2 linked regions of the Bombyx mori genome follow. The protein of the gene in region 2 purifies or fractionates together with the protein of the main gene of each other region. This does not show direct contact. Links are inferred from orthologs where the notes say so. Each region holds a gene or a part of one and is shown on either strand. Other genes may lie near its edges.

Region 1 (6,376 bases), on a different chromosome or scaffold from region 2:
GCAACGTGAGAACTCCACGAAAGATGTCGATCTACAATAACACCCAGGTTTTTAACTGAATCGGTTAGAGTTATTTGAGTCCCATCCAAATAAATTGGGGGGAGTATAGGATCGCTGAGTCTACTGCGCAATTGTTTACCCCCTATAATGATAGCCTGTGATTTTCCCGGATTAATGTGCAGACCGTAGGCTTTTGCCCATTCACTGATAGACTTCAGATCACTGTTCATCGCAGCAATAGCCGATTCAACTTCAGGCTCCGAGAAGTGGCGATATAGCTGGAGATCGTCTGCGTAGAGGTGGAATTTAGAAGATATAAGCCTAGTGACAGAGTTTATAAACACAGAAAACAGAAGAGGAGAAAGAACACCACCTTGGGGAACGCCCGCACTGACGTTCTGCCAATCCGAGAAAATCTCGTCAAGACGGACACATTGCGAGCGCCCCCGAAGGTAACTATCAAACCAGTTAATAGCAGATGAGGAGATATTGTTTGATTTGAGTATTTCGAGCAGAACATCGAAGTCAACAGAGTTAAAAGCGCTGCTGAAATCTAACAACACTAATAAAGTTAGTTGTTTGTTTTCCATGGCCCAGCGAATGTCATCGGTCACTTTTAGAAGAGCTGTAACCGTGCTGTGGCCCTTGCGAAAACCAGATTGGAAGGAGCTAAGAAGATTGTGGGAGAGGAGAAAAGACGACAGCTGACGGTGGACAATGTGCTCAAGGACTTTGGAAAGAAAAGGAAGTATAGATATAGGCCGGAACTGAGATGGCAAAATAGGATTGGGGCTTTTTGGGATAGGAACAACGTAGGCTTGTTTCCAAGAATCAGGAAAGTTGCTAGAGGTAAAGGAAAAATTGAAAATATGGGTAAGTATAGGTGCTACCGTTGGAAGAATTAGGGCAATCATTTTAGAGCATACGTTATCAATTCCAACAGCCGTGGATGAGATGGAGAAAAAGGAATTACGGACATCAGCAACCGAGACTGGACTTAAGTCAAAAATAGGGATCCGGGGTACGGATAGACTTGAAATCTTAAGCAACGTGGCCGTCTTTGACGAATCACTGAGTGACACAGGAGGGAGAGAAAAATGCTTATTGAGGGCGCACAAGTCAGTATCCTTGACAGAAGAGACCGGAGTTTTGCCAATGCCGACAGATTTAAGGAATCTCCAAGTATGAGCAGGGCTGCGATTTTCAAGTGATTTGTGAAAGTAAAGTCTTTTAGCATCTCTGCACAAATGGTTGCACCGGTTGCGCAGTGCTTTGTATATGGCCAGGCTGTACCAATTAATTAAAAATTTAACTAATCTTTTTACCAGCTTACTGGCATCTGTCACTTACTTGATGCATATCACCTTCCAACAATGCCCGTAAAGTCCTATCCAGCCTAGAGCCTGAGGGCATAGATCCCATTCCAGCACAGGCCGATGCTGCAGCAGACAACTCATGAGTCCTAGACCAAGGTGCTGTGAACATTACGTAGCCTCCCAACATATCAAACCACGATGTGTATGTGCTACGTATTGACTCAAATGCTGAATATTCTCCTATGATTAACTGTGGGACAAAATTGTATAAATTAGTAAACGAATTACACAATGTTTTAGTATAATAAAAAATAAGCCTAATTAGCTCACTTCATCTTCCTAAAGCCTATTTTAAGACTTAGTGTTAATTAATGAACCACTTAATAATATAAAAAAATAATTCTTGAAAACATTTTCAATTAAGAAAAAAATTCATTTCACAATATTCAAATCATAACTCATTTATTTTGAAGTTATAGATTAACTGATTAAATTAATTAAATGTTCTTATTTGCTGTATATTATGCTGTTATTATTACCGTTATTCAACAGGTATGCTTGCATCTGCCATGTTCCTATTTGATTTGGCTTAGAACGGGGAAATTAGCATAGATAAATAGGTAATTTTACAAATTTTTTGAATGTAGTAAATGATGATGATGGTGGTATACACTTTAATCTAAGAATTTTGAGGACAAGAACAGTTTCTAGTTTATGCAGTTACTTAATTGATTCACACATCTTTACTTACTCTCATAATAAGTTCAAGTTTTGGTTGTGATGCCAACACTCTGCTAGTAACCTTAGCTCTGCATTCAGCCTGCCAATGCTTCCAAGTTACTGTAAACTCCCCAGTTGATATACCACCATATATCTGTAATTTTATATCCATGTTATGTAGATGTAAAGTGTTTATGGCAAGATGTGAGGTAAGATCGAACTTTTAGCTATAGGATATCCCAGGTTAAATTTGTTTAATAATATACAACTTTTCATAACCACAATGAAGTCTTTGATCTGACACAATGGTTACATAAATTAATAATAACATAAATTTATAAATTTTGATGGTGTTAATTGTTTTTCCCAAAATAGTTTTCCAGCTGAAGTTTGACATGTGTGGACTATAACCTATATCATGTGAACAGTCATTCAGTAGTTTAGACATAAAAATCTAATAAGACAAGAGTAAAGTTCATATATGGCTGAGCCTTTACTCGCCCACCTGTCCTGGTGAAACTGGAAAGGCCTCCGGGCCACCAGTAATCTTTCATTCATAAAGAAAAAACATTCATATAAAATATCTTATTAGCATGTTCCAAACATCTCTAAATGGTGATGGAATTGTTCAGATAAATTGTCTCTTAACTATCCAAAGTATAATTTTTGCTCTTAATTAATTTATACTGTGGAATACTTAATGAAAATCAATTGTTCCCTTTATTTGTGAGGAATTTAAATGATAATTTGACTTTAGAAATTATATTTCATTTTTATACTCACACTATAAACAGGCATACTCCGTAATGAATTATCAACAAGCTTAAATTCATTTGTTTCTGATAATGAATTTAATTTCAGTAGAGCTCGGGCGACATCTACTCGCCCTTGCACAACCATGCCAATCACAGTATCCCAATAGTCATCGTGGTCTTCTGAACCTCGCTCACAGGCCTCCAGCAACTGCGCTGCAGTCTGCTCATGGCACGGAAAATGGAATCGAACCCATTCTAGGAGGTATGGCAACACAATGTCTCCGGGAATCTTATCTATGTAAAGGATCTCACATAAATGCCAAATACATTCAACAGAATAAAATATTGTAATGTATGATTGTAAATTGATCATGTCGCTGCCGTCTTTCGCATCATTAAGGGCTTCTTGCAAGTTTTCAATGCACACTCTTATAATAGAACGATATTGTCGTGAAAGTTTTAATAATTCCACGTGATTGTCATTATTTTTTGAAGAATCGACGAGTTTCTGCAGAGATAAATATGTACCATTGGATTCGTTTACCAGTTTTCGTAAAATCGGATGAAATAATACAATCTCGTGACGTATATTGAGTATTTTGTTTTCGACATCATTTTTTGGTGTTTTCGAAACAGTTTGACTGCGTGGGTAGATAGAAAACTTGTTACCACTCCTCCACGCACATCCTACGCCCTTATTGAAACATTTTTCTGGTATATTCTGTAAGAAACAAAAAAAATAACTTAACTCAAACATAACCTATATATTCGTTGAATCATGTTAATTACTTACAAATGTTTTAGCTCGAATAATAGGACTACTATCATCGCCACGAACATTATTGTTAGAAAAAGTCGTTATATTCATTTTGTATTAAATCTTTCATGTACACAATGCAATTTCACATAAAATTTTGTAAACATTTGAATGCGAAACAGAATTGATCAGAAACCGCCGTTTCAAATGCGCTGATTTTTTTATTTGTTTCACACATAGAACAAGGTGAAAGCAAAGGAAACAAAATCCATACAGCCAATTATTCTTTTTGGTCAAATGCGTAATAATAGTGGGTTAGTAATCTTTTAGCATGTGTATATGGGCAGGTGTGAGAAAATAAAACAAAATCGCAGGACATGGCTTAGCGGTATCTTTTTCAAAAATACGCACACAATTCTATTTCGACGTCACCTCATCTCATCTCATTGCAATTTCAGATGATTCAATTTGGTTTCATTCCTTCCTATTAGATTTAGATAAGTTGACGAGCAATACGCACCTGTTATTTTTTATAATTCGTTGTCTATTCGCTGGTGTCTAAGGGGCTATTTCAGCTACGCGCAAACAAGTAGATGAGCTCAGAAATTCAACCTGAGAAAATTTGCTAACACTAGCCCTAGCAAGAACAGTGCCGCTGCAAAATCTATTACCCGATCAGAATCACGACTCATTGAGAATATCCGGCCAGAAACGCAGTGGGTTGTGTCTATGAGTTAATTCGATCATCGAAAACTTCGTCGCAATTGACGTGATTGATGAAGAAAGTAACCGTGAGTGAAAGGATCGGATAGGTCATGTTTCGCGATGTAATTTTACGTTGCCTCGTCCTTTGAGTCGGATATGTAATAAGCAGCGGTCACATTAAATAGATTATCGTGTCGCACCGAGCACTACGTTAATATTGCCACCGATCACAAAACATAAAATCAAAGACTCATTTGTATTGTATAGACTATGTAGTCCACCTTTCATAGCGGAACGCTTTCTAACTGTTATGCTTTAGAAACAGACAGAACAGTGATACCCAATAATGAAATTTACTGAAATCTACATGTAATTTCGTTCGCGTTCGACTTTTGTACTTCGGGTTTCAACTTCTGCACTTTCACAGATGCTAAACGATTGATAATCTACCATGATTATACGTTTAAACTAGAAGCAACACTAAATTAACAAAATAAAATAATCCATACAGTTACCTTGCCTCCCCGCCGAAAAGTTTCTTACAAACTTTAAATACACGAACATACGGCCAACAGTGCTAGACAAACTTTAACCCAAGATAACTAAAAAGTCGAGTATGATAGCCGTAAACATATTTTAAAAAGGTATGCATTGACAGTTGACGTTTTTGTTTGTTTTCGTAGTTTGACGCTCGTGATTCATTGTGAAACGTTTATCCCCTATAATAAAAAAAGTTTTTAAGTTTATATTTACCCTGAAATTAAATCCTTCCAGTATTTACAAGGTATAAAGGTACGTGAACATTTGATGACTTTGCATTTTTATTTAATAAGTAATGTCGCTGACCGGATGACCTGTTGGAGGACATATTGTTGATTTTGTCATGAATTAAATCTTGACAGTTTCAATTCGTCAAAAACTGTTTTGTAAACGGTATATTATTTTACAACAAAATTATAAAGTAAGTCAACTGTTATAATATAACTCGACGTTTTAATTAATATAATGCGATATCCAATATAAAAACAATTTAACTTGAAAGTTTTCGTTTGTTGTCAAAGTCGGATTTAACTATTTTTGGTAAGTTTAGTTCTTAATATTTCATGTGACCTGACTTTCTAGAGTGATCCGAATCATTGAGGCCTTCACCTCGTCTAGGGGCCATAATATTGATACAAAAACCGTGAGCTGCAACCGCGACTGTGACGTAGCGAGCGGTGAAAAACTAAACCGAGTGAATTAGGCCGCAGAAACCCGCTTCGGCGGTCGTGTTGTGTTCTGTGTCGTACCGTGACGTTCGGCGATCGTAGAAGATTCTGTGTACTAATTTATCGTAGTTGATGTGATAAAAAATTATCATTGAATGATATCTAGTATAATATTACTGTTTCGTCGTTCGTACCTGTGCACAGCTCAGACTAGTGGTGTTACTTGTGAAGTGTTTGTGGTGAAGAAATATTTTGGTGTAAACATTGTGTAAGTTGAATACTTGCAGTGCAAGTTGGATGTTACCTCTGTCCAGTAACCTTGAATGTTGTACATGTACATGTTTTATCATATCAAAGCAACATTTCATTTTATTTGTTATCATAGCTCATACAAAAATTCTCTTTTAGCTGTGAATTCCAACTCTTGACTATTTTAACACTCATTTCCAAATTTAAACTTTCTAACTGCACATTTAAAATTGTAAATTATTTCAATGTATTGTAAATGGCTGTGACACCCTTTTTCAGATAAGACATCTTTGAATAGCTTACCTAGGTATGTGTGACATATAGACCCAACACCCCAAGAAAAAAGTCATAAAAACAATCAACAACATAAATGCAAACTCACAAACAATTGTGGTTCTGATGTTGGGGTTTATAAAATCCCAGTTATTTAGGAGTTTCGATGAGATTATTATTAGAATTATTAGATCACCCCTGTATGCTAATTGACACTGGTTCTTCTTTATCTCAACACCTAACACATTATGTGATTGAGATTTTGACATTTAAATAGTGTAAAGGCCATTTTAGTGCTTTATTTGTGTTTTGATGAAAATGGAAAAATTATAATTAAATTCATCTCATATAAAGCAATAGATGGACAAGCTACATATAAAGCAATAGATGAAC
Region 2 (6,286 bases):
GCGTTGACGTAATGGAGAATAAATCCTTAGATGAATTAAAAGATTTTATTAAACTTACACTGACCGACGTCGCAGATGACAATAGAAATTATTTCCTGCACATCATGATGGCTCTGACAAAACAAAAATTATATTTAGAGAAACAACTGTCCAATATGAATGAGCAGATTCAGAATCTAACCTACAACCAAGACGTTTTAGTTGAGACAAACAGAAAACTGGCTTTAGAAATTGATCAATTAAAAAAGAGAACTAGCTTTAATAAAACTTAGAAAGTTCCAGGTGTACTTATAAAGTTTTGGAGCTCTAATTTATTTTAAGCAAAAGTACATCAAACTTCATAATACAATATAGGAAGTTTGAAGAACTTTAGCTAAACTTACACACACTTATTATTATTTACAATTATTTATATTACACAATTGTTATTTAACAGGTTCATACTACGGTTTTCACATTTCACGAGTTGTCGATATTTCGGCGTGTTGCAAGCGTCACGGTCAGGCATAGACTGAAGATTGCGGGTAGGATGTTAGGAGCAAAACAAAAAGTAAAGTAGACATTACTTATGAAAATACCAAAAAAAAAGTAAACATTTTTTTGCCAAATTAATAGTAGGATTAACATTGAAGTTATTTCTGCTGACTGCGAATTCATTTATAAACGCTTGTAGCATCATTTTAGTAATTTTTATGTCTCCTTTTATGCCATTGAGCTGGGTAAGGGATCTGATGGTATTAAGCGTTGATCGTCGTCCATTGCACTATGAGAAAGTCGTCTAGCGGCTGTGCAGTCTTTTAGGCGACCGGAAATAGGATGGCAATACCAATGCGTCCCCACAATACATCAGTATCTACCGGTATAGGCGCGTCACTCAATACGAATAAGTTTTGTCCCTAAAAGAACTGATTTTCAGAACCATTCGAATTCATTTTAAGTTTGTTAGGACCTATTAACAGACGTTACACTGTAGCGTCTCTAAGCGATGCCTGCCACTTATTATCAGCTGAGCTGCAATCTCAATTGCCATATTTTATAAAAAATTAATGAAATGTTGTTGACTTTTCATAATCCTAGGTAGAATATTTTTAAAACTGTAAAATAATAATTGAAAGACATTTTGTTAATTTTAATATACTTATACACATATAAATAATAGTTGTGCCAAATTTAATACCGTTCGTAAAATTACGGACTTAAAAATTTCCAATATTTAAATTATTTTTTGTCTCTTTCGTTGTGTTTGTAATGTAAATTAAATAAAGTAAATTTGTAATAAATATTCCGGCATCAATACCTAATAGTATAGGGTCCTTAGGAACGGATTCTTTGTAAGTAATTTAAAAATAATAAACATAACATATTTTCAACTCCTCTTTTTATTTAACAAATGTTAAATATTATCATTGAACACTTAAAGTGTGTAGTAAATTAAAAAAAAATACGTAATTGTCTATTTGACAAATTGGTCAAGTTATTGGAGATCTGTTTAATGAAAATTATCACACTCATAATTAGTTAATCATATACAAATTTTGCATCTATCTAAATTGTTCTGTTTTCGTGTTTATTTTGACAATAATGTTAATAATTGATGTATTTTTGTGTATGAATTTGTTATATTTATAAATAATATTAGCTTCCTTGTTAATCTATGTAATTAAATTAGCTAGTACACTACTAATTTTATTAAATGCCTATAATTTTTAATTGTTTTTTTTTTCAAAGTATATCATGAGCCTTTTCACACATCTATAGATCTTAGTGTAGGAATGGTAGGTAATAAATACGACATCGATGTTGGGAGAAAAACATGGTAAGGCGGGTACTAACGTCTAACGAAAGACCACTGTTATTTACAGCATTGGTCTTCCGTCGTGTGGGGTACGAACTGCTTGAATTGCTTCCCTTTTATAAATTATATATTATAAATTATTATTATCTATGCTGTTTTCATTCATGGACTGAGGCTCTTTAACAAGTTTTCCCAAGTTACCACAAGTTTCTCCCATTTAATCTACATGGGTGCCACTCCGGGAAGGACCGCTTAATTGCTGGGGATGAGATTAAATCCTTTATCGATATCCTGTAAAACAATTGTGGTGACCTAAAGAATAAGATGGACAGACAGACACAAATGAACGAGTTTTTGGCGGAAACGCCAGGACCGAAGTTGTGTGTATTGTTTTTTATTTAATTTAGTGTTTCTTCAGGCTTAAAGGCTTCGTCAAACAGAAAGCGTAATTAGTGCGCGTCAGAGCGCTACGCTATGACGCCGAGATGTGTTGTACTACTATACTATGAGCGCTATAGCGCTGGCGCTCTGTTTGACGGTATAATACCGTAGTAGTACAATACATCTCGGCGTCATAGCGCGGCGTTAGTTTAGCGCTCTGACGCGCGCTAAGTACGCGTTCTGTTTGACGAAGGCTTAAACGTGTAGTAATGGTGCTTTAATTACTGTTTTGCATCCGTAAAAGCGCATGTGGGAAAATGAAACAGTCGCTTGACATGGCTTTTCGGACTCTTCCAAAAAGTCCACTAAAGTCTCTTTAAATAACTGTCATTTTACTGTGACTTTATTTCATCCCATCTCACCTCATTTTATTTAATTTCATCCATATAATCTTTCCCTTTACGTTGTTTTTCATTTAACAGAATATAAAAAAAAATTGTCTGTATGAAGTGATACTTTCGCCTTTCATATTGAAAAATGGAATTATTACTGTCATTAATGTCATTTTCTGTTAATTTGAGGTTATAAATTGGGATTAATGTAACGGAAAAAACACTGTTAGTTCATAATAACAATGAGTGAAAACATAGCTACGAACCTTTTCGAGGCCCAAACGATACATGCCGATCACAAAGACCTTATTCACGATGTCGCGTACGACTTCTACGGGGAGAGAATGGCCACTTGTTCCAGTGATCAATACGTAAAGGTACATTCTTTATATTATTTTTAATTAGAGTACGTACCTTTGTTTTACGTACGTATAGTTGTAAAACGTGGTAAAATGAAATTTTTTTAGTCTTCTGGTAATTCACGAAAGCTTTGTTGCTTCGTAGTAATAAGCAATCGTGAAAGTTAATAATTTGGAATATGTTATTTTTTATCTTAGATATGGGACACAGACGGGCATGGAGGCTGGCGGATGACAGCGAGCTGGAAGGCTCATCACGGCTCTGTTTGGAAAGTTACATGGGCCCACCCAGAGTTTGGACAGGTCATTGCGACTTGCTCCTTTGATAGAACAGCTGCTATTTGGGAGGAAGTGGGTATGTGGAACCATTTGTTCATACCATTTAGCATTAAATTTATTACTTTTTCTAGATGAGTTGTTTTATAATATATTTTATGTATAATTAGCTGACCTGGCAGACTTCGTAGTGCCTCAATCAATAAATAAACTAAACTTTTGTATAAAATAAACCTAAAACAAAAAAAGGAATCCTTCCGGCGGGGGACATATTAAAGGAAAACAAAATTGTTATTTTTATTTAATTCTGAGCATTTTTATATTTAGCTACCTTTTAAACTTTCTCTGGACCTCTACAAATAATACAATACCAAAATTAGCCAAATCGGTCCAACCATTCTCGAGTTTTAGCGAGACGAACGAACAGCAATTCATTTTTATATATATAGATTATAGTATATTCTTGTAAGTTTTAGCCACAATTTACCCATTTTTTGCAGAATGTAAGGTGTAGGGTGCCTGCTTTTCATAGTTTTGCATCATGGTACATTCAATGTACTTCTGAAAGCTTTCATTAGTTTTTTGTGTTTGGGTAGACAGACTGAGATCTTAGATCCCATATCACTTAACATGAGGTGGGCTGTGAGCTCGTCCACCCACCTAAGCAATAAAAAAATTACATTCTAGGAAACCTAGCTTGGAAGTTGCAAAATAATATAAATTTTAACAGACATAAAGTGTGAAAAACTGTGACCAAAGAATGGCCTATTTAGTCATCACTAGCACCATCACTAGTCATGCAGAGATATACACAAGCCAAGTGCAGAATAGTAGGAGTATATAGTTCAAAATGATTGGTTCAAATAAATATGTATTCAATATTGTATTCAGGTGACACCACAGCAACAGGCTCTGAAAAGAGTTTACGTACATGGCTGAAGCGGTCAAACCTCGTTGATTCAAGAACTTCAGTAACAGATGTTAAATTTGGACCTAAACATTTAGGTCTACTACTAGTTACATGCTCAGCTGATGGCATTATAAGGTATTATGTTGATCCATAACACTACACATCAGTAAAACCTCCTGGTACTACTTATTTCAAGCATAAACTGATAGCTACTACCACCCTGCCTATTTCTGCAATGAAACAGTCTCGTTTTCTAATTTGTAGGCTGTTTTACTAGATGGTTAAGAATTTGGGTCTAAATGTGAGTGATGATTTATGTAACAATATTGGCAGCTACTAATGTAATCTAAGCTGTAAGCATTACCTGGTTTTCTACATTTTCAACAATTAAATTCAGCTAATTACCATTTTTCATTTGAATTAATTCTGTGTCGTTCTAGATAAATAGTTGACCTCAGAATCCACATAAGGCTATGTTGTTACTGGTATAGCAATACTGCTCTTCATCTTCTCACTTTAATCTGTTTGAAGCGAAAACAACATTCTGTTTGATTTACAGAATATATGAGGCTCCGGATGTGATGAATTTGGCACAATGGACCCTCCAGCACGAGATACCGACGAAAGTTTCAATTAGTTGTTTATCATGGAACCCTTCATTGTCTAGGTAGGTATGTATTTTTATTATAATTGGATGTAGCAAATAGCCCATCTGATCGTAACTGGATATAGTCACTTATGGACAACAAGTAGTCAACAACAACAGTCAACAACAACAACAACAATAATAACGTGTAGTCAACAAAGAGCTCTTTTAAGTCCCCAGATACTCATAAAACAGCAGGGAATTTAGTTTAGAGGTTGAAAGTGAGAGTAAGAGAGAGTTTTTGGGAGCAAATTGTGTTTTTACTGTGTAAAATAAAACTGTTCTGTTGGCTTGTATTAGTGACTTTTTTATAATATCTTCAATATTGCATTTTTTTTCTAGGGTAGGAAACCCACCAATGTTGGCAGTAGGCAGCGATGAACCTAACACAACAAATGCCTTAGCATCAGTACCATCTGATAAGAGCACAGCTTGTAATGGAAAAGTTTTTATTTATGAGTAAGTATTAATTTATATGTTGTAATCCATGTATTAAATATACACTTTTACTTTTATATGTAAATATCTAAAATACTTATTACTTGAAATAATGATAATTCTAGACAGTGACTTGGATGTGCCCCTGCCATTGACAATGTCTACTGTTAGCAGTGATTTAAAACTATCAGTTTTTGTATTGTATTTGTAGTGAATGTAAACATTTGGCTTCATTCATTTACTTGATAGATTTGCAAATTTTTATAGTTGTCTATAGCCCAGGGAAGATTTTTGTCATAGTTTGGAGAGTATACGACAAAAGGAAGATATTCAACCGAGCGGGTGACAGACAGTCCGAATGTTGATGTTCAGAACTTGTATATATGCAAGTTCCATTCCCGATCCTGCGGACAGAATGGAAAGCAGTCGACGTCGCCCCAAACACGTCATTTCGGATCCTCCCGATCCACTAACGGTGCTTTTAGGTACCTCAAGCACCGGTCATTGTTCTCGTCGAACCCGTCGCTTGCGACGAAGGGCTCGACGAGTAAATTAACCCTCAGACACAGCCCACTGAGTTTCTCGCCGGATCTTCTCAGTGGGTCGCGTTTCCGATCCGGTGGTAGATTCTGCGAAGCACGGCTCTTGCTAGGGTTCGTGTTAGCAACGTCATCAGGTTTCAGCCCCGTGAGCTCACCTACTAGTTAAGGCGAAGCTGATATAGCCTCTCAAGGCTATCAGATTAGGTGGGAAAAAATAAATAAATATGCAGGCTTATCTTGAAAATGTCGTAAGCCAGATTCAGGCATCTAGCAAATATCTTGTGTTCTGTGATGGCTACCCGCCACAATGGTACCGCTGTGTACGTAATAAAAACTCTTATGAAGCTAAACAAAAAAAATTAATTAAATTTGTGTTCAGATACAGTGAAACGTCTCGTCGTTGGACGCGAACGGACTGTCTGTCATCCGTCCAGGAGCCGGTCAACGACCTCGCCTTCGCTCCGAACCTCGGCCGCTCGTTCCATCTCCTCGCCGTAGCCGCCAAGGACCTGAGAATCATTAAAATCGAACCACTTTCGTGAGTACT

What was found. The genes of interacting proteins can lie anywhere in the genome.
Region 1: the proteins of sec13-like protein (region 2) and nuclear pore complex protein Nup85 purify together in Homo sapiens (affinity purification with western blotting; 4 studies listed by BioGRID and IntAct, with this or other methods). This does not show direct contact. The link is inferred for Bombyx mori from reciprocal best matches to the Homo sapiens genes SEH1L and NUP85.

What each region holds. Positions count from the first base shown.
Region 1 is NC_085123.1:527,857-534,232, forward strand, and holds the start of nuclear pore complex protein Nup85, read right to left. Parts: upstream 3,773-6,376; 5' UTR 3,660-3,772; coding exon 3,585-3,659; intron 3,513-3,584; coding exon 2,820-3,512; intron 2,191-2,819; coding exon 2,068-2,190; intron 1,567-2,067; coding exon 1,351-1,566; intron 970-1,350; exon of another isoform or gene 598-969; intron 453-597; exon of another isoform or gene 1-452. UniProt on the Homo sapiens protein: Essential component of the nuclear pore complex (NPC) that seems to be required for NPC assembly and maintenance. As part of the NPC Nup107-160 subcomplex plays a role in RNA export and in tethering NUP96/Nup98 and NUP153 to the nucleus.
Region 2 is NC_085125.1:13,430,146-13,436,431, forward strand, and holds the start of sec13-like protein, read left to right. Parts: upstream 1-2,763; 5' UTR 2,764-2,810; coding exon 2,811-2,945; intron 2,946-3,125; coding exon 3,126-3,282; intron 3,283-4,094; coding exon 4,095-4,248; intron 4,249-4,672; coding exon 4,673-4,780; intron 4,781-5,101; coding exon 5,102-5,218; intron 5,219-6,118; coding exon 6,119-6,277; intron 6,278-6,286. Other genes in the region: uncharacterized protein LOC101745951, read left to right, coding at 1-272. UniProt on the Homo sapiens protein: Component of the Nup107-160 subcomplex of the nuclear pore complex (NPC). The Nup107-160 subcomplex is required for the assembly of a functional NPC.